Linked DNA regions of Mus musculus. The protein of the gene in region 1 purifies or fractionates together with the protein of each later gene. This does not show direct contact. Links are inferred from orthologs where the notes say so. Each region holds a gene or a part of one and is shown on either strand. Other genes may lie near its edges.

Region 1 (15,605 bases):
ACTGCCCCACCTAGGGATCTATCCCATAATTAGCCACCTATCCCAGACACTATTGCATATGCCAGCAAGATTTTGCTGAAAGAACCCTGATATAGCTGTTTCCTGTGAGGCTATGCCAGTGCCTGGCAAATACAGAAGTGGATGCTCACAATCATCTATAGGATGGATCACAGGGCCCCCAATGGAGGAACTAGAGAAAGTACCCAAGGAGCTGAAGGGGTCTGCAACCATATAGGCAGAACAACAATATGAACTAATCAGTACCCCCAGAGCTCGTGTCTCTAGCTGCATATGTAGCAGAAGATGCACCTAGTCGGTCATCATTGGGAAGAGAGGCCCCTTGGTCTAGCAAACTTTATATGCCCCAGTACAGGGGAACGCCAGGCGCCAAGAAGTGGGAGTGAGTGGATAGGGGAGCAGGGAGGAGGGAGGGCGGAGGGGACTTTTGGGATAGCATTTGAAATGTAAATTAAAAAAAATATCTAATTTAAAAAAAGAAATTACAGTTAGAAGAAGTAAGGAAAGTTTTGTCTGTCTGTTTTTTAAATGTATAAATGGATGTGGCCACTGCGTGTTTATTTCTGACTGATCTTAAATGTATAAGTTGACTATGTTCTACCTGTCTTGGTAAAAGAACATCAGATTGAAAGCCCCTCAGCACCCCAAAGACCCATTAAAGATAAGACTCAAAAAAAAAAAAAACAAGATATAAAGTGTGTGTGTGTGTGTGTGTGTGTGTGTGTGTGTGTGTGTGTGTGTGTGTGTGTGTGTGTGTATGTGTGTTTCACTCAGGAGCGCAGAACATTGGTTTGGGTAGCAAGGATAGCTATTACCCTTGGGATCAATTTGAGTATATAATTGGGTACTGTTGCACGGGTGTTTTATAGTTAAATTATCCTTGTAATATTTACCCTTGTGGTTCTGGTGTTGACTCCAAGTCCCTCCCCATGTGGATTTTGCGAAGTTAAGCCTAGTATGGCCAAACATTAAGTTCATATTTACACTCTGCTTTCAATTTTCAGTTATGATTTATATTTTCTGATCCTGTTCTGTACTGATATTTTTCTTTAAGAAATATAATAGTCTTTTAGAAAAGTTTGAATTCTTTATAGCAGGAATTTTAAACACTTAATTCATAAAATCTATCTCTCTATATGTGACTGTGTGGGTCTCCCGACCCTCATGGATGGTCAGCCAGTTTGGTCCACAAGAGCACTAGAAGCAGAGACATCAAGTGGGGGTGGGGGCGGGGCGGTTTCAGAAGCCCTGTGAGTCTATACAGTGAATGACCACATCAGGACCAGATCAGGAGGCAGATCAACTTTACTTAGGGTGATTCGAGGCTTATTAAAGTTATGACATTTTGGGGAGACTGAGGGCAACAACATCCAGAATGGGCAAAGCGTCCTTGACTGGGGACTTACAGAGCCTGAAATGCCTCATTAGCACAGGAAAGCATTTCAGGAATCTCAGGTGCTTGCTGAGCAGGTTTTATCAGGAGAAAGGAAATTGATCCTGTAATCTAACTGAGGCTAGGGACACTCCTCAGATAGAGATGGGGGAGGGTTGGGGTTAGAATTCCCCGGACGAGGTGAGAGAAGGAGAAGCCCCACTCATGAAGGGAGTCTCCCATATTGCAAGAAGGCCAGAGGCTGTCTGGTCATGGTGACTTCGACCTTAATTAGCAGAGTTTTCCCACAAACTGTTAAAAGTTCTTGACAGTCCTTAGTGTGCTTTTGTTTCAGATTCATGCTGCAAGTTTGTTGGGCCTTCTTGTGGAGAAGCCCAGGAATGGCATTTACCTGAGAGGTACCTGAAGCACTTTCCCAGGTCTCTGAGGTCATCCTCTATCCTAACCTCAGAGAAGCACTTCCTGCACATCACTAGCTGCTGCTACTTGGAATTCCCATTTAATTCCTCATGCCCTCTTCTAGAAACAATAATCCTAATGGGCTTCAAATGTAAAATGGCTCTCACACGCCAAATCTGACATCTGGCATCTTGCACAAGGGTCCTGTGTTTTCCTGACAGCTCCGTGATCTGGTCCTGCAGTTTAACTCTGCTGCTCGAGAGGAAATCATGGCGTGGAATTATTAAACAGTTTGTGGAAGGTGGCATCATTTCTGAATGTAAGAATATTTGAGCCCAGGCCTTTCTAGCTATGGAGCCAGATGCTGGCTCAATCCACTCACTGTCTTATAAACAAAGACTTAGAGGATGTTTGCAAATGTGGAAACACGCTGTGTCAAAGCTAGAAGACTATGAAAATGATATTTTCTTTAAAAAAAATTTTCTTCTAAATTAGATTGTATTTTCAGTTTGAAAAGAAGTAGTCTCCATCGGGACTCTCCAGTCATACAACATGCTGTAGATATAGATATAGATATAGATATAGATATAGATATAGATATAGATATAGATATAGATATAGATATAGATATAGATATAGATATAGATATAGATATAGATATAGATATAGATATAGATATAGATATAGATATAGATATAGATATAGATATAGATATAGATATAGATATAGATATATGAATGAATGAATGACAGATTCACTGGCTTTTGTTATTTTGGAAGCTGAGAATTCCTGTGATCTCAGGCTACAAGGTGGTGACCTGTTAGCAGTGGGTGTGGGGGAAAGAGGGAGTGGGAGAAAACCTGCGAACGCCAGAGTTCTGGTGCTCTGGGTGGGCGGACGCAGAAGACTATCGCGTGCTTTCCACGTGGCCCCAGGTGGGCATCTGGCTGTGTGAAGCCACTGGACTCCAGCTCAGAAGAGCTGAGAACAGAATGGGGGCTCGGGGAGGCTCAGTCAGCCCTGGGACCAAAGGGAGGAGAGGGCAGAGGGAGAGGGGACGCTGGGTGGTTCTTACTCGGGTGAGAGTCTTTGGTCTGGTCAGTGGCTGGAGTGCAGGAAGGCCTTCCGGCCAGAGGATTAGATGAGGCTCGTAAGGGGAAAGCCTATCCCATCGTTCAAGCACAGGGGGCCTTGATGAGCAGAGACAGTCTATGGTTTTAGAGCTTTATTGCAGAAAGGCAGGGAGAAAGAGAGAAGGTAGGAAGAGGGAGAGAGGCCGATCATGGCCACGTGGGGGGAGGGGTGGAGGGAGGGAGAGAGGGAGGGCTAGAGAAGAGAGTAAGAAATGTGAGAGTTTAAAAAGAGAGAGGAGGGGCCAAGCAGCTTCTTTTATAGTGGGCTGGGCTATCAGGTAATTGTGAGGAGGAGCATACCTGGCTATAGTCTGGTAACTGTGGGTATGGACTCTAGCCAGAATGCCAGGAGCTTGGGACATTGTCTGCGTGACTGATAATCACACACCTCTCCTGTGGGGGCTGTGGAGGCAGTAACTTTGACAGGAGCCAGGGGTCCAGGAGACATGATCGAACACCTCCTGTCACATGTAAGTGGAAATCACCAGCCATCGGTTTCCCGGGGTTTCAGACCTTTGCTCAACTGGAGACGAGGCTGTCTGTGCACAGCCCACTGCCCCACAAGGACCCAGCAAAGCCAGTGGTGTAGTTCAGTTTTGACCTGAGAGTCTAATGGTAGAAATCCAGTCTGAGAGCTGGAAAGGAAAACAGATGTCCCTCATCAAGCAGCCAATCAGGAAGCTACAGGACTCAACCCCTGTTTGCTCCACCTTTTGTCCCCCAGCGTACTCTGCAATGATTGTCATATCCACCACTTGGCTACAGGAGGCAGTCTGCTTGGAAATGGCCTGCAGCTGATGAGTCAGGGTGTGTCCCTGGTTCCTGACTGCCACTCTTTCCTAGAAGGAGTACCATGACACAGGCATTTCCCCTTCTTTAAGGACTCTTGCCAGTAACAAGGAGGCCAGGAAACTCTGTGGTAAGGAGCAGTAGGAAACACCGTAGCCCTCATAAGAACGACTCTAAAAGTGCCATGGGAGGAGTCAGTGAGGTAGTGGCTCTCAGCCAAGTGTTCTTTGATGAACAGAGAGGCCAGTCAGTCCAGGCTGTCCCTCCTCTGTCCCCCCAGAGGGGAGGATTTCCACACCACATTGGCTCTGGGGTCTGCTGGCTGAAGCATCAGTGAAAATGAAAGATTTCTAGAGAGGAAGTCCACAGTGTCTCTCCATCCCCATACGTCAGTGTTCTGACCTGAGTTTGAGGCACACTGATGTGAGAAACTGTGGTGAGGAGCATGTAGTGAGCTATCCCCCCAGATGACATAAGGGCTGTGGGATGCTTGGGCCTGGATCTAAGCCACGGCTCCTCTCATCCAGGGTCTTTATCAGCTCTCTCTTTATCACAATCCTCTCCTGCGCCACCCCTCTACCCCATACACACACAGCCCAACAAGGAGGGTTTCTGACTGACTGATCCTGTATCAGATACCTGGCCCCCTCTACCCATTGACAGCTTCCTCATCTTACCCAGCAGGGCAGACACAGGGGTATTTTTTCCCAGTGTTTTCCCCAGGCCAGTTTTAGACTCTGCAATTAGGTCTCCTAGGAGATGTTCAGAATTTGGGGAAATTTTGTACTTTCATTTTGCCTTTGTGGGTTTTTTTTTCTCATCCAGATAAATGTGTTCATTGTGAGCCCCACGTGGCTAGGTGATCTGGCCCGTCCTTCAGTGACTTTTTATTTGCCAGAATAGTTTGTGTAATAGAGGACTTTTACTTAGAAGTCATGTTGAAGATGGTCATTGGTTGGGAAACCAACATGGTCAGAGGCATCAGCCCCTGAAACTGGCAGGCAGGCAACTTTGCCACTTGTAGTTATGCATCAAGAGAAGGAAAGGATAGCAAATCTTAGAAGACAGCATAACGTGGATTTCAAGAGCCGGAGATTGAGAAGATGGCTCAGACCGTAAAGTGTCCGCCCCTCGAGCTTGGGAACCTGAGCCTGAGTCCCTGATGTCCACATAAAAGCCACATACACACACAACACATTCATATACACACATAATACAGACATTACTAATTAAAAATAAAGAATTGGATATGGGTTCACTGCAAAGCCCATTTGAGTTTGGGAGAGGCTGCTCTTTGTATAGTCCTCCTCACTCTCAGAGTGAGGCACTGTGTACCCAAAGGGAGGAAGTGGTACTGTGCCACAGGTGATGGGGGCTAGGAACGAGAAACCACACATATCTAGGATTCTTTCACTGCTCGTACTAGAAGACATGTTCTATAGATAGTAAGCTATTGGCCATCATGAGACCAAAGACTGGCAACCCCCCCCCCGTGTGTGTGTGTCACAACTCTTACACATCCATCAGTAAAATAGGGAAATCATACCAGCATCTTATTGTTTCAAAGATTTATGGAATAATGTATATGAAAAGCCTGACCTGCAGGGTCTACCGTTAGTGACACTCCTTTCTTTCCAATTTCTGGATTCTTCTAGGAATAATAAGTGTCTTCCTGGAAAAGGGAAAATACCCTTTATTTAGAGGCTGGATTCCCAGGTTTGGCCTAGGGTCAGTTTTATACTCCCATGAGCCCTGTCTGCTCCTGGGTTGCTGTGAGGATAAAACAACATAGTAAATGTGTTGGCTTCAGAAAAAATGGCTTTGTCAATACAAGATGTGCTCAACTGTGTCGTTCCACATTGGTCTGATCTGTCAGCATCCGCTCTCTACATTGAAGGAACAGCTCTGCCCAGAGCTGTATAAATTCTGAAAACTGAATTAGCCACATGGCCTGTCTTAGGGTTTCTATTGCTCTGAAGAGACACCATGACCGTGGCAACCCTTATAAAGGAAAACATTTAACTGGGAGTGGTTCAGAGGTTTAGTCCATTATTGTTATGGTGAGAATCTTGGCAGTGTGCAGGCAGACATAGCGCAGAAGGAGCTGAGAGTTCTTCGTTCAGCTCAGTAGGCAGCTAAAAGAGATTGTGAGCCACTGGGCCTGGCTTGAGCTTCTAAAACCTCAAAATCCAAAGAACTCCACTCTCTATGAACCCATGGGACCCATTCCCATTTAAACCACTACACTCTCAGACTCCCATAGGCTTGTAGCCATATCATAATGCAAAATGCATTTAGTCCAACTTCTAAAGTCCTCATAGTCGATCACAGTTTCAACACTGTTTAAAAAGCCACAGTTCAAAGTCTGTGAGGCTTGTGGACAATCTCTTAACTAGAACCCACTGTAAAATCAAAATGAAGAAGCAGATCACATATTTCCAACATACAACGACACAGGATATATATTATCACTCCAAAAGGAAAGAATGGGAGCATAGTGAAGAAAGACACATCAAGACAGAAAACTAGCTGGGCAAACTCCTATTCTGTATCTCTATGTCTAATGTCAAAGTGTTCCTCAGATCTCCAACTCCTTTCAGCTTTGTGAACTGCAACACACTTCTTCCTCTCTTGGGCTGGTCCCAGTCCCTGTTAGCAGCTTTTCTAATGGCTCTGGCACCTCCAACCTCTTGTGGTTCCAAGGCAATCCAGGCTTCACCTTCACAGCTTCACACAATAGCCTCTGTAGGCCTCCATGCAGAGACACCCACAGCTTTCCTTTGTCATGGAGGGAGATTCTGCAACCCCTTTCTTTTATCTTTTACTATAAAGCCAGAGCCATGTAGCTAAAATTACCAAGTTCTGCTACTTGCTGGGGCTAGAACACACAAACACACACACACACACACACACACACACACACACACAATCATTCGGTTATATCTGCATCAACTTTATGGTTTTGATGGTTTTCTTCACTGCCCTAAGCTTGGCTGTCCTGGAACTCCATCTGTAGATGAGACTGGCCTTGAACTCAGAGATCCACCTGTCTCTGCCTCTGGAGTGCTGGGATTAAAGCTTTTCTTTAATTCCTTTTCACAGTTCATTAATTGCTTTTCACAAATCAGAAGCTTAGCTGGCTCTGGTCTTGTCCTGAGGTCACCGCTCCCTCTATTCCACTTAGCATTAGACTTTTCTTTAAACCTTTTATCTTCTTGAGCACTGGACTTGACTCTATTGAAATTTTTGGTGCTATTTTCTACTCCCCCCAACTGTACATTTAGTATTTTTCCTTTGCTCAGCTTGCTCTTTTTCATTATAGATCCTCATTCGCATGGAACATCTATACTGGGTCCCCTTTTCACAAGAGTGGGGGTGGAGAGAATGTAAGAGACAGAGGTGGTGGGCGACTACAAGGAACCAGTGTCTTCCAGACACAGCGGGACACATATGTATTCAAGAACATAGTCCTTGGTAAGTCATCCAGGCTCTGGTGGAAGATCACACATCCAGGAATATTTGGGCAGCACAAAATTGTTTTGATGGGCTAAGAAGGAAAAGACACAAAGCTGGGTGGATGTCCTTGGAAGAATAGGGGACATGAATATGATAGAATTCTCAAAGAACTAATAAAACTATTATTTTTTAAAAGTAAAGAGTTCATCCTAGAAGAATAAAGTGAACATGAGTCTAAGTCTTTGAAGAGAGGGAGGGGCCTGACCTAAGCACACAGGATGGAGCATGCATTCCAGGAGTTGTGTGACTCAAGGGCATGCATTATTCTTGAAAACTCTGATTCAATAGCCAGGTGTGGTGGTGCACACTTTTAATCTCAGCACTTGGGAAGCAGAACCAGGTGAATTGGAGACCAGTCGGGTCTACATGGTGAGTTCCAGGCCAGCAAGAACTACATAGTGAGACCCTATCTCAAAAAAAGAAAATACAATAAAACCATCAGACAAACAAACAAAGGAAAAGGGAAAAGGAAGGAAGGAAGGAAGGAAGGAAGGAAGGAAGGAAGGAAGGGAGGGAGGGAGGGAGGGAGGGAGGGAGGGAGGGAGGGAGGGAGGGAGGGAGGGAGGAAGGAAGGAAACTCCAATTTATATCATTTTTCAATTTCTATGATATTAACCCCTTATGTGGAGTTAATTCCTAGCTACCACAGTGAGGACACATCTGGGAACACACCATGCCCAATACATCATTATGAAGTTGGATACAGGAGGCAGGAGAAGAGAAAACAAAGAGAACTACAGACCAGTTTTCCTCTAACTCCAGCTCTTTCTACCCCATGACCTTTGGGGTCAAGAGTAGATTATCTGTGAATATGACAATGGATTCTAAAAGCATTAGCCTGGGGACTAGTAAGATAGCTTGGTGGATAAGGATACTTGCTGCATAGGCCTGGCAACGTGAGTTTAATTACTTGATCCCACATGATGGAAGAAAAAAGCTGATTCCTAGGGGTTGTTCTTTGACTTTCACACACACACACACACAGCCTCACCTTTCAAAGTCTCCTTTTGAGCTCCTATTCTAGTGTTCTGTTCATGGAAGTTCTTTCTTCCATCCTTTCTCCATAGCAAACCTTACAAACAACTTCTAAATTGAAGGCAACAGAGAGCTAACTTGATTCTGCCCCACTGTGCCTGTCAGGAAAATGGGCTGTTGGTCAGAGATGTCTACGCCTGTCTACTCTATCAGTTTGTGACTATAGCTCAAAGTATCACTTGCACAGGTATTCAATGAGATTATGTAACGAATCATAAGTAACAGTCCTGTCATCTCATGCCAAGTAAGTTACAAATAGAAGTTGAGCTCTGGATTCCCTAATTTGTAGGTGGTCTACTCAATGTCCGTTTTTTTCTTAGGATCCAAGAAGAGTTTACCAGACAGATCTGCTCAAAGAACTTGTGACACCCATTTCCTGGAAACAGCTTAGAAAAAAAGAGGGGTGGGGGGGGAATCACACTTCTTCCCCAAGCCAGGGTTTGACTGATGTGACATTACAGCCCCTTTCCCAACTCCCATGGGTCTGAACACCTGACTTTGGCTTCTCAAGAACAATGAAGTGATAAAGTGATTTAAGCCTGATCATAAATGAGCAATCCTGGAGGCTCAAGTAGAAAAAAAAAAAAAAACCCGGTTGAGACAGGAAGCTGGTTCAGGAACTTGTCAGCAGAGGCAGCACTTCGACGATCAGAGCTTCTTCCTTGGGGGTAACAGTAAGCAGCTGTCCTGCCGAGCTGAGCTGAGCTGAGCTCACAGCTGGGGACCCTGTCTGCGATTGCTGGCTAATGGATCCCAAAGGATCCCTTTCCTGGAGAATACTTCTGTTTCTCTCCCTGGCTTTTGAGTTGAGCTACGGAACAGGTGAGTGTCCATTTGTTTAAAGGGTTTGAGTCTTGTGTTTAGCAGTTTGGAATCAGCAGAGCCCCATGGATGGAGAAGCCAAGGGCTGGGGAGTGCTGTTCAGTTGCCTCTTCTTTAAGGAGAGTGCCTCTGGGTTTCCACTGTGTCTTTCAAAGAGGAAGAAACCTGTTGAGTTCCCTGAGCCTTGGGCTACAAGGATTTGTCCCATCTACACTAGTTTCTATGGAAACCAGAAGCTAAAGGCACCTGCTATGTCCATAGTCAGCTTCCTGGACTCAGGCTAAAATTCTGAGTAGCTGGTTTATGTGGCTACCCTTCTGGCAAAGACCCAGGCTAGGGACCAAAGCTCTGGGACACTTGACCTATACTTCTGCTGAGGAAAACGACTCTCACATGTACATCATTGGCAGACAAAGAACACCGGTCCAGTGAAAAGCAAGGGTGATAGGAGCAACAGGTAGAAGTGGGAAACCTCAGACCTTAGGCTCACACCAGACAGTGGCTGCGGTGTGGTCATGCTTTCTTATAAGAGATGACTCCAAAGCACCAAGAAGAGGAAACGTTGGGATTTTGGAGCCCAGGGTTGCTTACAGAATGGGGAAAGTGCAATCAGGAAACTTCAAGGCTCTGCAGTGGGCTCAAGTGATGGCAAAGGGTTAAAGGAGCAGGACTTCTCTCCCATCCCTCTGGTTCTTCTCTTTTCCAAGGCAAGCTGTTGTTTTCTACTTAGTGGGTGGGAACTGTAAGGAAAGGTATTGGAGAGCAACCGTGCTAAGCAGTGCATACTGGGCTAACCATGGAATGAATGGTCAACTCCATTGTAGAGTTTAATTAGATTGTGGGAGACAGCCTGGCAGAGATGGCTTTAGGAAGCGGATCGGGGAAATCCTGAGAGCCAGAGCATTTTGGTCGTGGGGGATTCATGACTGTAAATCCATTATGGACTTTTCTAAGAAAAACCCTGAAATGTGCCAGGGATTGGGGGTGGGGGGCTGTACCTAGAATCTTTTATTCAAGTCTCAGATGAGGAGACCCTTGTCTAGCTCCACTTTGAGATAATCAAACTGAGCATCTTTGGAGGTAGAGCTAAGCCCTTCTTGTTGCATACCATTTGAACCCACCATTGCTGGCTTACTTGGTGACTGTAGTAACTATGGAATGAACGTTTGGTTTTCTCCTTGTCTAACCTTGTCTGTAGCAGCTCAGATGTAGCTAGCAAATGTTCTGCTTAAGGGTAGGAGGTCACTGGCTAGTGAGCGACAGCCCAGCCCCAGGATACATACATGTCTCTCCACTTGGCAACTATTCTTTCCTTGCATTCCACGTTCTAAAATAAGCTCAATTTTTGTCAGTGTTTCTATTTATAAATGTGTACTCTTTTGTGAAACCCCATTAAAACCCAAATAGAAATACTTTGCAAATGAGACTTATCAGTCGTGTCAGGGCAACCCAGAGGAGCTTGATTCTTGTAAAAAAGTGTGCACCTTCCCATTTCTGCTCAATTTTCAGTTCCTACTCAGAACTATAAGATGCAAAAAGTGCAAACGTCCCTTCCCAAGAAAAGCAAAGGCTCCTAAAGGATAGTTGATGTCTTTATTTACAGTGAACTTCACATGTAAGTGAGTGATGTTCAAGAAGCTAGGCAGCTTCTATATGGCATCTTGACTTTAATCCAAGAGGCAGAATAAAGAGTTGCTATCTTTGGGTAAATAACTGCAAGACAAACTTTATAGAAAGCATTGTTTTAAGTGTTTTATCCTTCAAATTCTCATACCAGCCCTATGAGATTGGTGCCACCATTGCTAGAACTTTGTCACTGAAGAAAGATAAGCAGACTAGATTAACCGTTTCTCTGTACTCATGAGGCTGGATGCTAGACGTTTCAGTGAATGAAACTTGATATGCTCTGTTTGAGGACTGGGAAGAATGATCCAATGTGTTTCAAGGTCCCAAGAGGAAAACTAGGCTACGATGTCTGTGATTAAGGTGTATATGTTGAATTAAATTGAAACTAATTGAGTATGGGGTTTTCCAAAAGGAGAGAGGCATTGCTGAAAGGAAGGAAAATGAAGAGGCACGTAGGAAGCATTTGATGGGGAGCTGGGAAGTAGAAACTTTTTTGTCATAGTGGTTTTTGCTTAACCTTTTTTGTTTATTAGAGGAAAGTTGCATGTGCATTTCTGAAACTTCAACAAAACAAAACAGATTAGAATGAAGACTTGCCTTCTTTCTATAACCCTTGCTATAGATGACACTCTGTCCATGTTTCGAGTATCCTTCACAAAGTAGGTTGGAGTCTACTAGAGTTGGGAAGGAGAACTTTAGATGGAGATACATCCCAGGCTTCAGTGATGTGAGTGTTTGGGTGGAATGGCAAGGGGTCTGTTGCAATAAAGAAACCCATGGTTTGTGGCTAAGGAACTTGTAAATCCTCACCAGAAAAGTGGGGAGGAATAGTCTCTCATCCCACATTGGGGATGTTATAGAAAGAAAATGGAATTCATCTTGATTGTGGAAAGGGGGGCATTTAGACTCATGGTGTCGTTCATTCATTCAACCCATTTAATTTCATTTATTGACTTTGATAAGAAGGATTTCTTGGGCTCCCATTGAGTCCCAGGTACCAGTTAGAACAGTAGTTCTCAACCTGTGGGTCACATCTTCTCGGAGGGTCACATATCAGATACCCTGCATATCAGATATTTATGTTACAGCTCATAACAGTAGCAAAATTACAGTTAGGAAGTAGCAGTGAAATAGTTTTATGGTGGCTACAACCTGAGGAATGAAGTGTCGCCAGGTTAAGAAGGCTGAGAATCACTGTTAGAATACCACAGTGAATAAAAGATACAATCCCTCTTCTTGAATGCTTCTAACTCTGTGAGCACAACAAGTGCTAACGTAGATAAAAATTGTGCTGAGAAGCACAAAGGAGGGATGGAGAGATGGAAGAGGGAAGGAGGCGGCAGGAAGCCTACCCTAAACCTGAAGTCTGGAAAGTCTTCCCTCATCAGAAGACCTGGAGGGTGGAAGGAACTGGACAGGCAAAAGGTGGGCCAGGCTTTCAGGCTGGGGGATGAGGAGTGCAAGCAGTGTGAGCAACGAAGACCCAGCCCTCTCAACCTTGGACTAGGCATCTTAGTAGGTTATCTAGGTTTAAAAACAATCCTTAGACCAGTTGTTTTTTTCCTTCCTGAGTCTACATTTACCTCTAGAACTGTGAGGCCCATGAGACCTGTCTCTTTTTTTTCTTTCCTTCTCTTTTCTTTTCTTTTTAAAGATTTGTTTATTTATTATGTGTAAGTACACTGTAGCTGTCTTCAGACACTCCAGAAGAAGGTGTCAGATCTTGTTACAAATGGTTGTGAACCACCATTTGGTTGCTGGGATTTGAACTCAGAACCTTCAGAAGAGCAGTCAGTGTTCTTAACTGTTGAGCCATCTCTCCAGCCCCCTGTCTCTTTTCTAAAAATAAAAAATAAGTAAAAATAAAAAGAAAGAGAGAAAGAAAAGACAAAAGAAAGAAGTAAGAAAGAAAAGAAAGAAGAAAGAAAAGAAAAAAGAGAAAAGAAGAATGTAGCGAGGTAATAAAAGAATATGTAAAATACCATAATGGAGCCAAACATAAGGTCCTGAGGTAGAAACCCCACTTTGTCAAAGGCTTAGCTAAATCCTGAACGTATCAGGCCACTGTTCACCTGCCCATATGAGTCACTCCACCATCAAAGCAGAAATACTCGTGAAGGAAAGTGAGTTGGTGTGAGGTATAGAAATGTTCCTGCCCAGTCTCTTCTAGTAAACAGGGCTACACTGAATCACAGGCTCGCTGGAAAACCCTCATCAGGCAGGAGGATGTTTCAGGAAAAGAGACTCCACTTGAAGGCTTTTACAGCCCCGCATGTGTTTCCATTTGAGCACCCTCCAGACTCAGAGGTCATGGGAGCAATTACGTCATCTTTCTTCTCATGTGTTTGGGTGTTGGGGTCTCCTTCTGGTGGAACTTTGACTCCAGTCCTTATGTGTGGACTGTCTTCATCTACCCCATCGGTTTCCTTTCATCCTTTCTCCTCTCGACTTCTATCATTTGTCTGTTTGTTTGTTTGGCTACTTCCTACCCTACCTTTCTCTTCCTTGTACCAGTTCTGTACTCTGAAAGTACAAAAACAAACAACAGCAGCAACAACAACAACAACAAGCCTGCAGTGTCTGGTGACAGGAAAAGGTGTGGGAGACGTGTAGGAGAGTGAAAAAGAGTTAACAGTCTTAGAAAGGGTTAATGTCCCCATTTCCCCCTTCTTCTTCATATCAAAATTAGTTTAAAATGTCAACAGTGTGAGAGTGATTCTGTTTTTAAATGTTCAGCTCTCTTTGAGAAATGGTGTTTATGGAAGTGATCCCCGAGTTGTATGTTCAGGGGTCCATGGGTGGCTCTCAGTCTTCCCTGTTTCTTTTACATAGAGAAACTTGGGTTCAGGACCCAAGAGACCAAACTGTATCTTGGGCACATTGTTACAATTCGGGTGTAAAGCCATCAGAGGAGGTGTGTCGTCTGGAACTGTCAGGCATTTCTGAGTGTGGCTGGAAAAGAAAGGCCCAGTGTTCTTCCCAGGGTACCACTGGGAAAATTGCAACAGACAACCACAGGAAAACCAAGCGTTGCCACCTTAACCGAGAACCGGCTGAGCACTGTGTTTTCAGGGAAAATATTAGCAACGCCCCAAAGACCTAGTTCTTTAACACCTACCATGCTTTCCTGTAACAGCCAAGCACCAATGAGTACAGTCAAGTACTCATCTTGACTGTAGCCGGTGTAGAAAGCATTTTTCCCCAAATCACTAGTATTTCATTAATCTGGGCTGGGTCATTTAGTAGACAGTATAGGGATTTCAGAGCACATTGATGTCAAGAATATTTTGGACATTTTACCCAATTTCCAACAGCTCATTTCTACCACAGTTGAAATGGGGTCTTTTCTAGCAGACCTGTTGCAGAAACAGGTGGTTTTCTACCCTTTCGAATCTCTTATCAGCGAGAGCAATCTATGCTCATAGAGTCATGTGTTCCTAACATGAACATTAACTTAGGGTTAAATTCGGTTGTATACGTGTCAGGCTAAGGTAAACAGGAGCTTGCCGAGGGTAATATGGCTTTCAGTGCCTGCTAATTGAACAGATATTTATTTCAGAGCCTGTCTGTGCCAAACACTGTATCAGGACATCAGACACAAACACTGGTATGACGTCTGTTCGTTTGTTCTCTAGAGAAGGACTGTATTCAAGTGGGACAGACAGCAATACAAATGGATAACTGTGCATTTAACACCAGACGGTGACAGCAAGGGCAGGAAGTATGTCCTAGGAAATCTGTCAGAGGAGGCACCTAAAGTAAAGTAAGGCACTGAGAAGTTCAGGTTCATAAGGGAAGAACTCTCCAGGGTCGGGAAAGTTCTTGATGAGGTTCTGGAGCAGGGAAGTTCTGTGGCCATAGTGCAGTGAAAGCCAGAGAGTGGGCACGGAATGGGTTTGGAGCAACGCTAAGTTCGAAGTGAGCAGATTCAAAGACTGTGAAGTTTGTAAGGGCTAGAACGCCCAGGAAGATTAAAAACAATAGAAAGAAAAACCTAAATCAGACATGGTTTAAAGGATCACTGTGTCCGAGGTATAAAGGCTGGGAGATTAGCTGGCAGAGTGGTAGCAGCTAGGCCTGTGGTGACGGTGTCAGGAAGGAATAGGTGGCAAGGACTTCTGTGTTGGATCAACTTGAGAATTAGAGCCAGCAGGATTTTCTGTCAAGACTAAATGTGGAGTAGGAGAAAGGACAGGTTCAAGGGTCCTCCAGTGTTCTTGGCCTGAGAAACTGGATGATCTGTCATGCCTGAGCAGAGTTCTTTGCTAACGTTGGACGCTATTTAAACTTCCAAGTGCCCATCTATGTAGGTGGTGGAGTCTACAGTGAAAGGATTAGCGATGGTCTACAACTGTAAATATTGCAGTTATGTCACACTGTGGAGCTAAATGAGAAATGAGGTGTAGATAAGGAAAAGAAGGAAACCTGAGCCCGACCATGCTCTGATACTTAGAGATCTCAAAGAACACAAGTTTCCCCTAAGGAAACTAAGAACGATAAAAGAAGAAAAACAAAAAAGCAAGTCATGGAAGTGTAGTATCTTGGGGACCAAATGCAGACCATGTTTAACAGAGGGGTGATGAACTACACCATGGGTTCCTGAGAAACACGCAAGGCAACGATGGAGAATTAACAGACTTGGCTCAGTGTGACAGACTGACAAGCGTGATCCTATGAGAATTTGGAAGAAGAGTTGTCTGGAGTGGATACAGGGAAAATTGGGTCAGGAAGTAAACGCAGAAAACATAAATAGATGTGCAAGAACCTTCCAAAAAGAAAATGAAAATAACCAAGTGACTAAGGATAGACCTGGGGTGGGAGGAGAATTTCTCTCTCTCTCTCTCTCTCTCTCTCTCTCTCTCTCTCTCTCTCTC
Region 2 (14,946 bases), on another chromosome or scaffold:
TTTTCAAAGATACAGAGTTTTATGTTCAGCCTAGCCTTGAGCTCTATGTAGAAAAAACTGGTGTTTAAAGGAACCCCTTAATGCTCCTACCTTTTTAAGTGCTGGGATGCATGTGAGCACCCATGGGTCCAGCGTGCTTATTGGTGCTTTCTGATTGGAGTTCATGGAGCGCTGTGGAATGTCCCCACTCCACTCAGTTGGTTTTGAGGGAACCCATACAGAAGGCTCCTTAGTGCCACTCCCTTAGCCCCTGTCTACATGGTGGTGTCGTCTTGGATCTCTTCCTTTGTCTGAGCCAGGACATGTGCTTTGCTCATCTGTGTCTTTTGTGGCGTGTGCCACAATTTATAGGTTTTTGATATTTGGATTTTAATTGTGTTCTGGTTAGAGTTTTTGTTTGGATATTCTCTATTGCCTTACATAAAATTGAGTGCAATTTCATAGTCACATTTAGAAGCTAACCTGAGACAGGTGGGGCTCTTGGTAGTTGAGCCTGGCAACTGAGAGGCAAGTGATGGTGCAGGGTTTTGGTTGGTGTACTTTTGCATGCCTTTAGCAGTGATGTTAGGTGTCCTGAGTTCCTGGGCTCTTCTCAGTTACAGCTCTTCCCAGTTCCTGCTTTCTGCTTGATGGAAAGGTCAGAGTTCATCTAGCACAGAGGACATGGGCTCGTAACAGAGGAATCAGGCTAGCCACCATTGGAAGTGCAGTTGAAAACTCCAGAGCAGAGAGCCTGGGCAGAATGGTACCTGGTGCCTGTGCTCAGCTCCAGTCCTCACCTCCTTGACCCAGTCCTTCATGTCACCCTGGGAGTGTGCACAGTAGTTCTGGAGTCTCTTGACAGCCTTTGTTTACAGCCTGTGTCCCTCACTGCACAGAAGCAAAACCAGATTGTGGCAGCTCTCCTACGCAGCAGTCCTGCAACATGCAAACCACTAAGCAGAGGGCCGCAGGTGCTGTGAGTCAGCTGAAATGTCTCTTTTCAAGGCAGGGTGGTTTTGTGTTCTCTGTTGAGGCCTCTGTAGTGACCAGAGCAATCCTTGAATTGATTGGTCAGAAAACAGCACCATTACGTTGGCAGTGATAGAAATCCTACCAGACGGTCAAATGCAAAGGCTGAATTTAGAATAAAAATCACATATTCCATCAGCTGCTCCTTCTGTCTCGGGGTCCTTTCTGGGTTAGTTACTAAGCTCTGTAGCTAGCTGTCCTCTTGTTTTTTACCACCTGTAAGTTACTCAGCATTTCTAGACTTTGATGTAAACTTTCCTTGCTGATGTTCACATGGGTGGTTTTAGAAAGTGAGTGTGACGATTTCCAGAAAGACAGAAGCAGAGCATGTTCTGTCTTGGACTTATCATTGGTAGATGATGGAACTGTTCCTCTTGGAGATAACACAGGCTCATTCCTCGGCTGGACAAGGCTTCTTACCTTTATGTCATTGTTACTTCTTTCTCAGCTGCCTGCCCTGGTGTTTGTTTTGAAACAGGATCTTGCTATATAGTTCTGGCTGGCCTGCTATTCACTATGTAGAGCAATCCAGACTTACACTGGAAGTGATTCTCCTGCCTCTGTCTTCAGGGACTACAAGTGTGCACACTCAGCTTTCAGTTTATCTGTTCAGGGTACCACTATGCAGCTCTAGCTGGCCTGGAACTTGCTATGTAGATCAGGTTGTCCCTGAGCTCACAGAGACCTGCTTGCCTCTGCTTCCCAAGTGCCAATACTCAATACATAAATCAATAATGGTGTGTGCTTCCCCCCTCTGTTCGTTCGTTCTTTCTTTCTTTCTTTCTTTCTTTCTTTCTTTCTTTCTCAAGATTCATTTATTTATTATATGTAAGTACACTGTAGCTGTCTTCAGACACTCCAGAAGAGGGCATCAGATTTTGTTACGGATGGTTGTGAGCCAGCCACCATGTGGTTGCTGGGATTTGAACTCGGGACCTTTGGAAGAGCAGTCGGCGCTCTTAACCACTGAGCCATCTCACCCAGCCCCCAGCTCCCCCCCCCCCCCCCCCAATCTGTTCTTGAAGCCAACAGCCATTGCAGACTGTGTTCTTGGTTTTGGGAAGCTGGTGTGTGGTTGGTGTCAGATGAGTCTGGATATAGAGAAAGCAGCTGGCCCAGAACCCTGGCTGCCCCTCTGAGTGAGCTGTTCATACTGTTCAGAGAAATCCAGGTACACATGATAGGACAGTGTCAGCCATCTGCCTGTCCTCTCAGAACAACTGATAGAATGCTAGAATTGCAAGTTCTGCTTGCCTGGGGGCAGTCCCTCCCACTTTGCCTGTTTTATCCTCAGAGCTGAATAAGCAGGTGTTGACTCTGATCTGGTAGCTAGTGGGTGGGGCATGGGGTGGGCATCTGGCCAACCTGCGGCACCTCCTACCCTCCCCCCTGTGGCCTGCCTTGCTCATTTGCATTGTTCTCTTGTTGGCATTCTAGAGGATAGAGGCAGGCTCCTGTCCCAGGAGGAGCCTCCTGCTGCTGTCACCAGCAGGCCTGGGATGATTGGTCATTGCAGGTCTGGATTTTCACTAGGGCTTGGGACATTAATTAACAGGCTCCTTGTGGTTCCTTCCAGAGCAAATGTGTCAAGTACTGGCCTGATGAGTATGCGCTCAAAGAATACGGGGTCATGCGTGTTAGGAACGTCAAAGAAAGTGCCGCCCATGACTACACTTTACGAGAGCTCAAACTCTCTAAGGTCGGACAAGTAAGTATATTGTCGTATTCTAGACACTGTGTAGCTGTCCATGTTTCGAAGTCACTGTGGTACTCTGCTCGCATTCAACCTTTGTCCTGTGTCCTGTCACTCACTGGTTGAGCGCCACGTCGGGTGCCTCATAGCTGTTGAGCCCAGTTTGCCACTATCTTCCCTTGTGAGGAAGGCAGGCATAGGTCCTGCCCTCACAGAGCGTGGAGAGATGGGGGTAAGGGTAACTGCAGCTTCCTGGCCCTCAACTCTTTTTTTGTTTTTTGTTTTTTTGTTTTTTGTTTTTGTTTGTTTTTGTTTTTTCGAGACAGGGTTTCTCTGTGTAGTCCTGGCTGTTCTGGAACTCACTCTGTAGACCAGGCTGGCCTCCAATTCAGAAATCCACCTGCCTCTGCCTCCCGAGTGCTGGGATTAAAGGCGTGTGCCACCACTGCCTGGCAGCCTTCAACTCTTGTGACATGACACAGGGTAGGTAGGTAGGGCCTCTGAGAGGTGACACTTGCTGAGTTGCCAGCCAGAGGGGCTGTGCATGCAGGCAGAAGAACAGGCTCCAGGTAGGGGAGCAGCTACCGTCCCAGGCTGTGATCAAGTCTGTGAGCAAGGTTAGTGCTGGAGCTCTTCTCCATGGCCTGTGGCTCAGGCTTAGTCCTGGAGTGGCTGGCTCGGAGTCATGTTGTTGTGTGTTTACAAGGGCCTTGTTTGATTTCTTTGGGGATTCCTAGATTAAGAAATCTACTTTTATCCTCATGGATTAAAGTCAGGTATGCTGAGAAGCCCTACACTTAGATAGCTGTGCTTCAGGCTGAGGTGACCTGAGTGTGGCTTCTCCAGCTGGCGTGAGGTTGGGCCTCTGCATAACCTTTTGGGCACAGGCGTTGTCTGAGCCACATCCTGATAGCCTGACTGCAGGAAAATGGGATACTGACTGGGCAGGAGAATTTCAGGAGGGTATTGCAGAAATACTCTTGGTTAGGTCTTGTTGGAAATAGCCTTAGAAATTAATAAATTAATTATTATTTATAACATTTACTAGTATTATAAATAAGATCACCACTACTACTACTACTACTACTATTACTACTACTACTACTACTACTACTACTACTACTACTACGAGACAGGGTTTCACTATGAATCCCTGATTGACCTGGAACTGGCTACAGAGACAGGCTGGGCTCAAATTCGCAGATATCTTCCTGCATCTGCCTTTCTAGTGCTGGGATTAAAGGTCTGTGCTACCATGACTGACTGAGGATTTTTATTTTGATTATCTGCCTGGCCTGGAATTTGCAATATAGACCAGGTTAGCCTCAAACTCAAAGAGATTCCCCTGCCTCTGTCTCCATATGCTGGAATTAAAGGCATGCCCCCATACCTGGCTCCTGGGTATTAAAGTTTACTTACTTGTTTTTACATTTATTTTGTGTGTGTGTGTGTGTGTGTGTGTGTGTGTGTGTGTATGCGTGTGCATGCATGCATGCCTGTATGTATGTATGCAAAGGTTAGAGCACCATTTATGGGAATTGGTTCTCTCTCTCTGCCATGTGGTTTGAGGATATTAAGAGCTTTGAGCTTTATCCACCATTTGGAACTTGTCTCAATTAATTATTATTATTTTAAATCAATCTTTTTTTTAAGTTTTATTTATGTATTTTTATAGGAGTACACTGTCGCTGTCTTCAGACACAGCAAAAGGGGGCATCGGATCCCATTACAGATGGTTGTGAGCCACCATGTGGTTGCTGGGAATTGAACTCAGGTCCTCTGGAAGAACTGTCAGTTCTCTTAATCGCTGAGCCATCTCTCCAGCCCCCTGTCTCAATTCTTGTGCCCAGTGAGCACATGTAAAGCTGTGTTCTGGGAGGCCTCTGTGTTGGTCTAGGCCTTTGACCTGTTCTGCATGTCTCCAGCAGTGGTCTTTCCTGCTGCGCTTACTCCTTTGGTTGGGAATGGTATGGAAGCAGTGAGGATCAGGTCACTGGAAAGTCATGTGCAGGGGTCGGGACAGTTTGGCTATTGGAGGGAAAAAAGAGACCAAAGGTGTCTCAGAGCCATGAGTCTGAGTGGACAGCATTGTTGTGGCCAGTGCGAGAAGCCAGACGCACAGCTGCTGTGTGGACGCATTGAGCCGAGCTGTTGAGCAGGCATCTCCATCGGGTGTCAGGAGAGTTATGATGCACATATGTTTCTAGCACTGTGCTGCTTGCTGGGGACAGACAACACAGGTGCTGTCTTGCTCTCTCAGTTGCACTCCACTGTCCAGATTATGTTGAATCACATGCCCTGATATGTCACTATAGAGTGCAGTTAGGGCCAAGTCAAAGGGTGCTGTGTGCTGAGATGGGCCAGGGAAGGAAGTTGATACTCACTTAGCCAGCCACAGCCGGTACTGAGCACTCATTCTCTGACCCACAGAACTGGAGGGGATGAGCCCGCTGCAGGGAGAGCTCAGGAGCAGTTGGCAGATGCTGCCTAGAGCGGTGAGATGAAGTGAGATGGTGGACGTTGGCTGGGGGAGCATAGGGGACCGGGATAGCAGAGGCTGGCTTGGGATCCTTGTAGTGGAAGTGATGGTTGGGTGAGCACAGGATGACCCTGTAGCCTCCAGACTTGCAGAGTAGGCTGCAGGAGGGACAGCAGGGCAGCTGTCAGGGAGGCTTGGCAGAGGGCCGTGACCCAGTGTATTGTGGGTAGGCTGGTTCCAGACCAAAGCTTTCCCCTGTAAAGATGGAAGGGCAGGAGGAGAGCCTAGGGCTGATGGTGAGCAGAAAGGGCTCTGTTTCCTGTGCTCTCTGAGGGGGTGTATATAGTGTGTGTAAGCCACAGGAGGTGTGTTCCTCTTGGCACACCCGTGGTGGTCAGCTTTCAGGAGTTGGTTCTCTGGGATTGTCAGGTTTGATGGCAGGTGTCTTTACCCACTGAGCTGCCTTGCCAACCCTCTTGTGACATCTCATGATGAACTGTCAGGCTTGTCAGTGTTTCTGAGTAGCAGACAGGCAGTTTCTTTCTTTTGGTGCTAGCAAAAAGCTGTTCATCTTGCTCAACACCCCCTCCCTCCTTTGAAAGGAATGTGTGTTGTGTGGCTTGTCTCTGGATACAGAGAATGCTGCAGGGCTTGCTCCATCTTGTGTACCAGGAGATTTTAAGAGGGAGGTGTGGGAGATGGCGGCACACTTGCGCTCTTATCCTGGCATAGAGGCTAACATGGATCCGTCTGGCTCCCGCCTTGCTATGACAAGTCACCTACTGTACAGCACTGATGTACAGAGATGCCCTGGCTAAGAAGGGGTGCTGCTGTGCAGTGTGGCAGTGCATGCTCTGTTTCTCTTACTGGCCTCCTGTCTGTGACCCATGAAGTTGCCTGGGTTTCAATCACTTAGTAACGACAAGGTTAGTTTTCCATGACATCAGCAGATTAAGTGCATGTAGCACACAGGAGATTTTTTTAATCACAGCAAGCACCCTTGGATGTAAGGAAGTTCACCAGCATTGGTGGATATTGAAGCCTCCCTCCCTCCCTCTGACCCCTGCCTTTCCTTTCTCTCCCCTTCATATCTTTGCCCTTCCAGCCCTCTCTTCTTCCTTTCCTCTCTTTCGTCGTTCCCCCCGCCCCTCTCCCTTTCCTTAGTGTTTCCTGGCTTGTCTCCGTGGGAAAGTCACTGGTGGCTGTTCCAGGCCAGCTTTGAGCTTCTGTTCTTCCCGCCCTCTCTTCTTCCTTTCCTTTCCTCTGGTCCAGCTTTGAGCTTCTGTGGTCAAAGTGGTCCTGGTGCCTCTGTTGATCCCTTGCTGTTGTTGTAGCTAAGAACAGCCAGGATATTCTCAGTCCTCACCATTACTTCCATTAGCTGGGAGGGCCTTTGTTTAGCTGCTTTAACCCTCTGTGTGAGAAACAGGTCTTTGCAAATGCATTTGGGGGTTTGACTCTGCAGTAAGGGGCTTCCTGGGATTTGAGCCCAAGCCTCACCATCTAATTCACAAAGCCTGTTGTCTGGCTGTGACAGTGCTGTAATGGACGTGGGTGCCTGCATGAGGCTGCAAGGGCAGATGCTCGAGGGAGCTAGAGTTTGCCAGGCTGCTAGTTGGGAAGACAGACTGCAGTCCTTAGGGCCCTCCGCGGCTCTGAAGTTGAGTGCTGCCTGACTGAGGACGTTGGGGAATATGGCCTGCTCTGATGACTCTGGACTATGCCTTGGCTACATTTTGCCAGAAGATGCTACAAATTGCCTAGCTCCATGTCTTGGATCTCCTAACAGGCAGGTGCTCCTTCCAGGCTGACCCATTGATTGTCAAAGAAGCACTCCTGGGCACCAGAGAGTGGCTTTCCATCTGCAAGGCACCAGGAAAGGTCAGCAGCCGCCGTGGCTCCTCAGCCTTTGGTTTATTTAATTCTGTTCTGGCTTTTCTTGGCTCTACTCCAGGGAAACACAGAGAGAACCGTCTGGCAGTACCACTTTCGGACCTGGCCAGACCATGGCGTGCCTAGTGACCCTGGAGGTGTGCTGGACTTCCTGGAGGAGGTCCACCACAAGCAGGAGAGCATCGTGGATGCAGGCCCTGTCGTGGTTCACTGCAGGTGACTGCCCAGCTTGCTTTCCTTTAATAGTTTCTGTTACTTAGGGGCTGGGAAGTCAGTTGTCCTTGGTAGGGATGTGACGGACACACTGTTCCCAGCACTCTGCAGACTGCTCATTCTGAGGGCAGTCCTTCCCACATAGGCCTTTGTGGAGGCTGCCCCAGGGTCACCACAGCAGAATGTATGGTTCTATGAGGGATGCTTCAGTTTTCTACAGTCTCGTTCATATGCTGAGCCAATCCAGAAATGAGTGAAGCTTTCCTTGTCGATCACTTTGTTTGTTGTTGTTATTTTGAGATAGGATTTTACTATGTAGTCTATGTTGGCCACTACCTCTGCCTCCAGAATGTTGCGGTAACAGGCCTGTACCACCAGGGCTGGACTGTTCAGTGTTTTTTGTTTTGTTTTTGTTTTTGTTTTTAAACCACCATAAATGTAGGTTTTGCAGCTAGGTTTTGGCTATTTAGGATAGAAACGAACATACCTTTCTTCCTCTGAGTATCTGCTGTGGCTTTTAAGACAGGAAGCCACGAGTCTGTGGGCAAGTTTGTATGTCCAGAAGAGCCATAATTTGTCCAACTGTTTTCAAGTAAAAGTTGTATGAAACTTGGGAGTAGAGAAAAGATGCCACGTGTTGTTCAGGGCCCCAAGTCTCACCACTGTGAACCTCGTGGTGATCCCCCCCCCCCGCACCCCCACTCCACAGATGGGGAAACAAGGATACCCTAGGGGGCCCATGCCAGGACTGAACCCCTCTGCACGGGCAGGGGTTGCTGATAGGAAGCTTCTCCTATCAGCACATTGTGTAGACACACAGCAGAGAGCCTGTCGACATTGACAGCTTGGTTCTGAGTGAAGCTCCATCACTTCATCACTCTGCTCTTACTCTTCTACCTACAGCGCTGGGATTGGCCGGACAGGAACCTTCATTGTGATTGACATCCTTATTGACATCATTCGAGAGAAAGGTAGGTCATTGGAGGACAAGAAGCCGCAATTCCTGTTCAAGTTTGTGACAGGAGGTGCCAGGAAACGTAGCCTGCGAGAGAGAATTTGCAGGAGAAAGAAGCAGTTATGGAAATACGGATGAGATTCACTTTCAATGTGTTTTGCTAAAAATAGTCCTAGCACTTTGGTCCCATCACTGTCTCTTCTGTCACCTGTGTCACATGGTCCCTCCTGCCCTGGTGTTGGGTGGCATTCTTGGGGAGCGAGGGGCTCCTGGGGCATTGTCCTGGCATTTGCTGGCATTGTTATGCGTGTTGACTCAGGAGTTCTGCCCTGCACCCGCATGGCTAGTTGATGGGAAGGACCGGCTCTCTGTCCTTGCTGTGGCAGGCGGTGCTCCTGCAGCTTTAGGGTCTGTGCTTTGCAGGTGTGGACTGTGACATCGACGTTCCTAAAACCATTCAGATGGTGCGGTCCCAGAGGTCGGGGATGGTCCAGACAGAAGCACAGTACCGGTTTATCTACATGGCTGTCCAGCACTACATAGAGACGCTGCAGCGCCGGATCGAGGAGGAGCAGGTATGGAATGAGGCTCTGACACATGGCTCAGCTCCTGTCTGGACTCGCTCTCTTCATCTGGAAAATGTTGACAGTTGGCCTCCCTGTAAGCTGTGGTCAGCATCCACTGCCTCCCAGTTGAGGGAAGTGTGGTGCCATCATCATGAGCGGCAGTCGGCTCTGCCTTACAAAGAGGAAGTGACTTTCATATGCTAGGCTTAGAACTCAGGGTCCACAGTTTCCAGCCATTTCAGCTTTGCTCTAGATTGATCTATTCTGATTCTGCCTTGTAAAATGAATGCCTTATTTCTAATAGAGCGTGGCAGTTTGAGCCACTAATTTGGCTGCATTGAAACAGTGAATTTCAATTTTAATAAGCTATGCATAATGAAGAGTGTGCAGTTGGAGCCTTTCCATGTGAGACTATTCATAACAGACACAAAGCTGAGCTAATTAGGATGCGCCAAGCTGAGGGAGATGAGGAGAGCCGTTCTTTTGGGGAGCTTTTCTTATTCCTTTCCCAAACCCTGTTGTGCTGCAGCAGATGGGTGGTGTCTAAACACCAACCACGGTTGTCCTTTTTATTGCTATTGCTTTCCAAAAGCCCAGGAGAGGGGACTTGGTGCGTGTCATAGGGTAGCAGGCTGTCTCTTAATGAGTAGCTTAAAAAAAAAAAACAGTGATCATCTCGCTGTATAGCCCTGGCTGACCTGAAATCAGTTTGTAGATCAGGCTGGCCTTGAACTCAAAGATGCACCTGCTCTGCCTCACAAATGTTATGATTAAAGGTGTGCGCCACCATGCTGGCCTGGAAGAGTAGGGAGAACCGCACCATCCTCCTTGAGAGCCAGAGGCGGGCCCCTTCCTGAGTTTAGGTACTCAAGTAGACGCGGGGTCAGGAGGTCACATGATTGATTAACAAGCCACCCATCCCCAACTTTAATTTTTTAAATATGAATTCAATGTAAGCAGTTTTTTGTTTTTTTTTTTTGTGGTGTTAAAGAGCAAACCTACGTACGGCCTCATGCACGCTAGCTCAGAACTCTGCCCCTGAGCTGCACCCCAGAGCCTCATGCACACTAAGTTAGCACTGCACCACTGACCTGTACCTCCCACCTCTGAACCTGGATGGCTGCCCTAAAGTTCTTTTATACATGTCTCCCAGTTTACACTTAATTGGGACCACTCATAGTTTAGAAGAGATGCTCAGGGAATAAATAAAGAGCTAGCACATGGTTGCTCAGCCTGGTCAGAAACATTCAGGAGATTCTGTCATCTTGTCGGGAGAAGTCCTCTGTACCATTTGGGTTTGTATTTGAGTTGGGATTGAGGGTCTTTGGCTGCTCCCCATTGAGGGACTGCTGCTTGGAGCCTTCATATTGCTTCCTGGCACTGAGACTATTAAGACTGAGGCTGTAAGTTGGATTTAGGAAATAATTTTGGGGGAAAAGAATCTTATTTAGTAACTTGGTTGATTGTGGGGAAGGAGTATTTACTGATGGGGACACAAAGCATGTGTTTCAGTTACTTACATGTTAACAAGTGAGTGTCCTGCTGATTCCACCTGAAGGATGCAAGCTTGCACTCACTGACTCGCTCACTCATTCATTCATACATACAATCATTCATTCATACAGTCATTCATTCAGCTAATTCATTTTGATACTAGTATGTGTTAGCACTTTGCAATTGTATTAACTCAGATTTTGGAACTTGGAACTTTGGTGTTAAAAAAGTATATAGGAGGGATGGGTTGTGGTGGAACAAGCCTTTGAGGCCAGCACCCAGAGAAAGGACTAATCTCTAAGTTCAAGGTCAGCCTTGTTTACGTAGTATGCTCTAGGACAGCCAGAGCTACATAGTGAGGCCTATGTCTCAAAAATAAACATACATTTCTGCGTGTATGGTTTGGGCTGGGGGTGTAGCTCACTTGGTTTGGAACTTGCCTAGTATACACAGAGCTATGGTTGGCCCCATGTAAACCTGAAGTGCTGGCATGTGCCTGAATCTCAGCACTTGCGAGACCAAGATGGGATCAGAAATTCAAGGTTGTCTTTGGCTGTGTATTGAGTTCCAGGTTAGTGAGAGCTATATAGGACGATATTGCAAAAACAACAAAGCAACAGTGAAAAAGAAAACTACCACTGCACACAAAAGAGTCAACTGCACACAAAACAGTCAACTACCTGTCTCCCTGCTTATTTTTAAATTGAATTTCAATGTGTGTGAGCCTGTGTCCATGTGTAGAAGGAGGAGGAATCAGACCCCTTGCACCAGGATGTGCACTGCCCAGGGTTGCTGATGGGAACTTAGCTTTCATCTGCAGAAGCACTTGCGTCCTTAACCACTGCACTATATGGCTCCAGCCCAAGCCCAGCGGATTCTTAAATTAAGCAACAGGACAAAACTCATTTAGTATAATGAATTAGTTCAAAATGTAGCCATCTTCCAACTTTGGATGAGTTAAGCCCTTTGGGAGTAAAAGAATTGCTAAATGAAAACAAAGTGGCAGTTGGGTGGAGAACCGTGGGGAAAGAGGCGGAGTGAAACAGAGGAAGCGGGCCAGCAAGAAAGAGATACACAGAGGGGCGAGCAGAGAACGGGACAGAGCACCGTAGGGACAGTCCTGAGTGGCTTATTAAGACTGCCTCTTGTGCTGCAGGGCTTTTTGTTTGTTATTTCAAGACAGAGTTTCTTTGTCTGTACAGCCCTTGCTATCCTGGAACTTACTCTGTGGACCAGGCTGGCTTCAAACTCACAAAGATCTGCCTGCCTCTGCCCCGCAAGCACCGGGATCAAAAGTGGCACCACCAGTGCCCAGCTGTGCCACTGCAGATTTGTTGAGAGGTTTTTTTTTTGTTTTTTTTTTTTTTTTAATTTTCCATTTATATTAGTAAGTACTTTATTTGCAAAAGCAGTGTGTGGAGTGCGTGGTATTTCTTTTACTCAACTTCTGAACACAAGCATTTATTTTTTTCTTCAAACTTTATTTAATATACATAATATTTAAAAAGGGAATGTTTATAACTTACATGAGTCTGTACCTCTTTGCTTCTAAGTGCATTGGTATATATTTTTTAAAAAAAGATGTTCTGTTACATCATCATGATTCAGTTACTAAGTTGGGGGAGCAAATTGAAAGCTCTGTATAATCTGCAGGTCAGGGCTGGAGCCCAGCGTGTGAGCATTTACTAGGCTCCTGGGGTCCATCCCAGTACAGCACACAAGCTTGCCCAGCATGTGTGAGCACTTATGTAGCTTGAGGCAAGAAGGCTGGGAATTCCAGTCTAGCCTGGGCTATGTTAGACCTTTTCTTGATAAAACCACAACCAAACAAGAAATTAAACATATGTCTTGGAAATACAGCTCAGAGGTTAAGGATACACACTGTTTTTATAGAGGACATGATGGCAGAGGGCTCAAAACTGCAGGTAACTCCACCTCTAAGGGATCCAGTGCATGTGTGTGTGTGCGCGAGTACACACACACACACCTCATGGTGACTTCCTCATGTGCACACACAGACATAAACACAACTCAAAAAGCTAAAGTAGGCCATACTCCACATTCAGATTTTTCCAGTTTGTCTTGCTGTGGTCAGGGTCACATGGTGTGTATAGCATTCATGTTTGTTTCCTGTCTTTCATCTGGAATAGTTTCTATGTCATACTATTGCTCTTGCTCCATACTTGGGACATTCCAGGAGCTGTCAGTTGCACCCTGCAGCTGAGACTCAGGCTGTGCTGTGCCAGGCCCTTCTGCACCACTCCAGTACCTTAGGGCTAAGTTGATTCAGGACAGTCAGGTCAGCTCTGCCTCTTGAGAAGATGATGGTGAGGTTTCTTCACTGGGAACTTACAGAATCAAGGCTAGCTGGGCATGGTGGCACATGCCTTTAATTCCTATAGTGCAGAGACACAGAGGCAGGGGGATTTCTGTGAGTTCCAGGCCAGTCAGGGCTATATAATGAGACTCTGCCTCAAAACAAAAATACTGTGTCTATGTATTGAGAGTGTACAGTGTATTTTGTGTGTGGAAATGCTATGGGATGATTGTCATGGTTAGTTGGTTAGTGTGCCCAGCACCCCACAGTGCATGCTGAGGTGGTGGAGTCTACTCTCAGCAGAGTTCAAGTTTGCTCTACCTTGTCCAGTCCAGTGCTGGGCATGAGGCTTCCAGAGCCCGTGGAAGATGTTATGTCTGAAGATATGTACTGTGGTCAGTGTCTCCCTCCTGCCACAGTCCCCAACAGCCCCTGCCCTAATCACAGTTTGTAGAAGTCGGGATGCTTGGTGAGCCTTCCAATTCTGGATTGGAGTTCATTCATTTCATATGGTCAAGTTGACAACCAGGAATAACCACTGCAGGTTAGAATCCTGTTCTTCCTGCCCCCTCCTCCCCAGTTCTGGGATGGGGATGTGCACAGCTCCCTCTCCTTGCTGCTCAGTCTCCCAGAATGGAAGGTGTCCAGAGTGAAGAGGGTGGCCACGCAGGAGCCTCACTTTGATTGGATTTGTTGTCTGTGCTCTGGGAGCACATCCATGGATAGTGTGCAGTGGCCATTGACTCTTCACATAGTGTACCCATGCCTAAGCATCCCAGGGCACTTGGTCTTAGACATGAAGCCTGTAGATTCTCATGTTCCTTGAATAAGAACTACTCATTCCTCCTGTGGTCTTCATGTAGCCCAGGAAGGCCTTGAACATAGGGAAGTCTGCACATGTGCAGTACAGGTGCATTGTTATGGATATTCACTGCATGGAGAGCCGACTCTGCAGGGCTGTCTGCTCTCTACACACATGGCATGTGTGAGCCTTTATACATGGTGAGATGAGATTACATTCCTGTTGTTTGCTCTGTTGGTTTCCTTCCCCTACCATTTCATCTTAGGGTGCTGTGGTTGAGATGGCTGAGCACATCTCAACATTGTGGGAGGGCTCTGGGTGCCATCGCCAATACTGCTAAATACATAAAGTGCATTACTGTGCCTTCCATCCTTGCACACAGTGATAGAGCTCTGTGCTGAAGCAGGAGTAGTGCCTCTAGCCTGTGTCAGTCAGCAGTTCCTTGCAGCTCTGGGGGCTCTGAGGGTTGTGGTTGCAGCACACTCCTCCTGCAGGTGCCGTGAGCTCCTAACCATTTAGTCAGCATGTTAGTGTTCTTAAGAGTCTGGCCTGTGGGCTGGAGAGATGGCTTAGCAGTTAAGAGCACTGACTGCTCTTCCAGAGGTCCTGAGTTCAATTCCCAGCAACCACATGGTGGCTCACGACCATCTGTAATGGGATCTGATGCCTTCTTCTGGTGTGTCTGAAGATAGCTACAGTGTGCTCATATAAATAAAAATAAGTAAATCTTAAAAAAAAAAAAAAGAGTCTAGCCTGTCCATCTGCCTCTTTTTTTTTCTTTTGATAAAATAGCTTTTTTGTTTCTGTATTTTTCTAAAAATCATATCCACAGTCCTCCTTACTTGTATTTTTTTTTCCTTAACTTTCAGAAAAGCAAAAGAAAAGGACATGAATATACCAATATTAAGTATTCCTTGGTGGACCAGACAAGTGGTGATCAGAGTCCCCTGCCACCCTGCACCCCAACGCCACCCTGTGCAGAGTAAGTAGCGATACGGCGGCAGCGTAGGTCTGGTAGAAGCTTAACAGCAGTTGCTTGCAGTATTCTCCTCAGGCTTGCTTGCTGCCCACTGATGGTGCATGGGGCGGTGGGGTCCAGGGACTCTCTAGGGCTCATGGTTGCAGGGCCCCTAACCAGTAGGCACGTGATGGGCTCTCCAGGATCCTGTGGGGCCCTGGGCATGTTAGGTAGGGTTCTCTGGGGAAAATCTAATTTTCCTTTTGCAGGGAGCATTATTTCAGTGGGAAGCGCTGTCCCTTACAGTGTGGAGACTCTTAAGAATAAATAAACTCTCTGTTCATGTGTGGACATGACTATGATCTGCCAATCTTCCTGTCAGTCAGGGTTTTTAAACCAAGGGTCAGAAAGCCAGAGCCCATAGGCTAGCTTTGCTTTTTAAAGGAGTTCTTATTTAAGACAAACAAACAAACAACCCCAAAAACCTGACAAGCCAACAGTTGCATGGGGACAGCTATCCCAGTAGGAAATGGCGAGCAATTACGAATGGGTGTGCTGTAAAAGA

What was found.
Region 2: the proteins of Slamf1 (region 1) and Ptpn11 purify together in Homo sapiens (affinity purification with western blotting; 3 studies listed by BioGRID and IntAct, with this or other methods). This does not show direct contact. The link is inferred for Mus musculus from reciprocal best matches to the Homo sapiens genes SLAMF1 and PTPN11.

Annotation. Positions count from the first base shown.
Region 1 is NC_000067.6:171,758,198-171,773,802, forward strand, and holds the start of Slamf1 (signaling lymphocytic activation molecule isoform 1 precursor), read left to right. Parts: upstream 1-8,934; 5' UTR 8,935-9,029; coding exon 9,030-9,105; intron 9,106-15,315; exon of another isoform or gene 15,316-15,404; coding exon of another isoform or gene 15,405-15,453; intron 15,454-15,605.
Region 2 is NC_000071.6:121,136,876-121,151,821, reverse strand, and holds part of Ptpn11 (tyrosine-protein phosphatase non-receptor type 11), read left to right. Parts: intron 1-2,587; coding exon 2,588-2,719; intron 2,720-7,125; coding exon of another isoform or gene 7,126-7,137; coding exon 7,138-7,292; intron 7,293-8,192; coding exon 8,193-8,260; intron 8,261-8,667; coding exon 8,668-8,819; intron 8,820-14,292; coding exon 14,293-14,405; intron 14,406-14,946. UniProt on the Homo sapiens protein: Acts downstream of various receptor and cytoplasmic protein tyrosine kinases to participate in the signal transduction from the cell surface to the nucleus. Positively regulates MAPK signal transduction pathway. Dephosphorylates GAB1, ARHGAP35 and EGFR.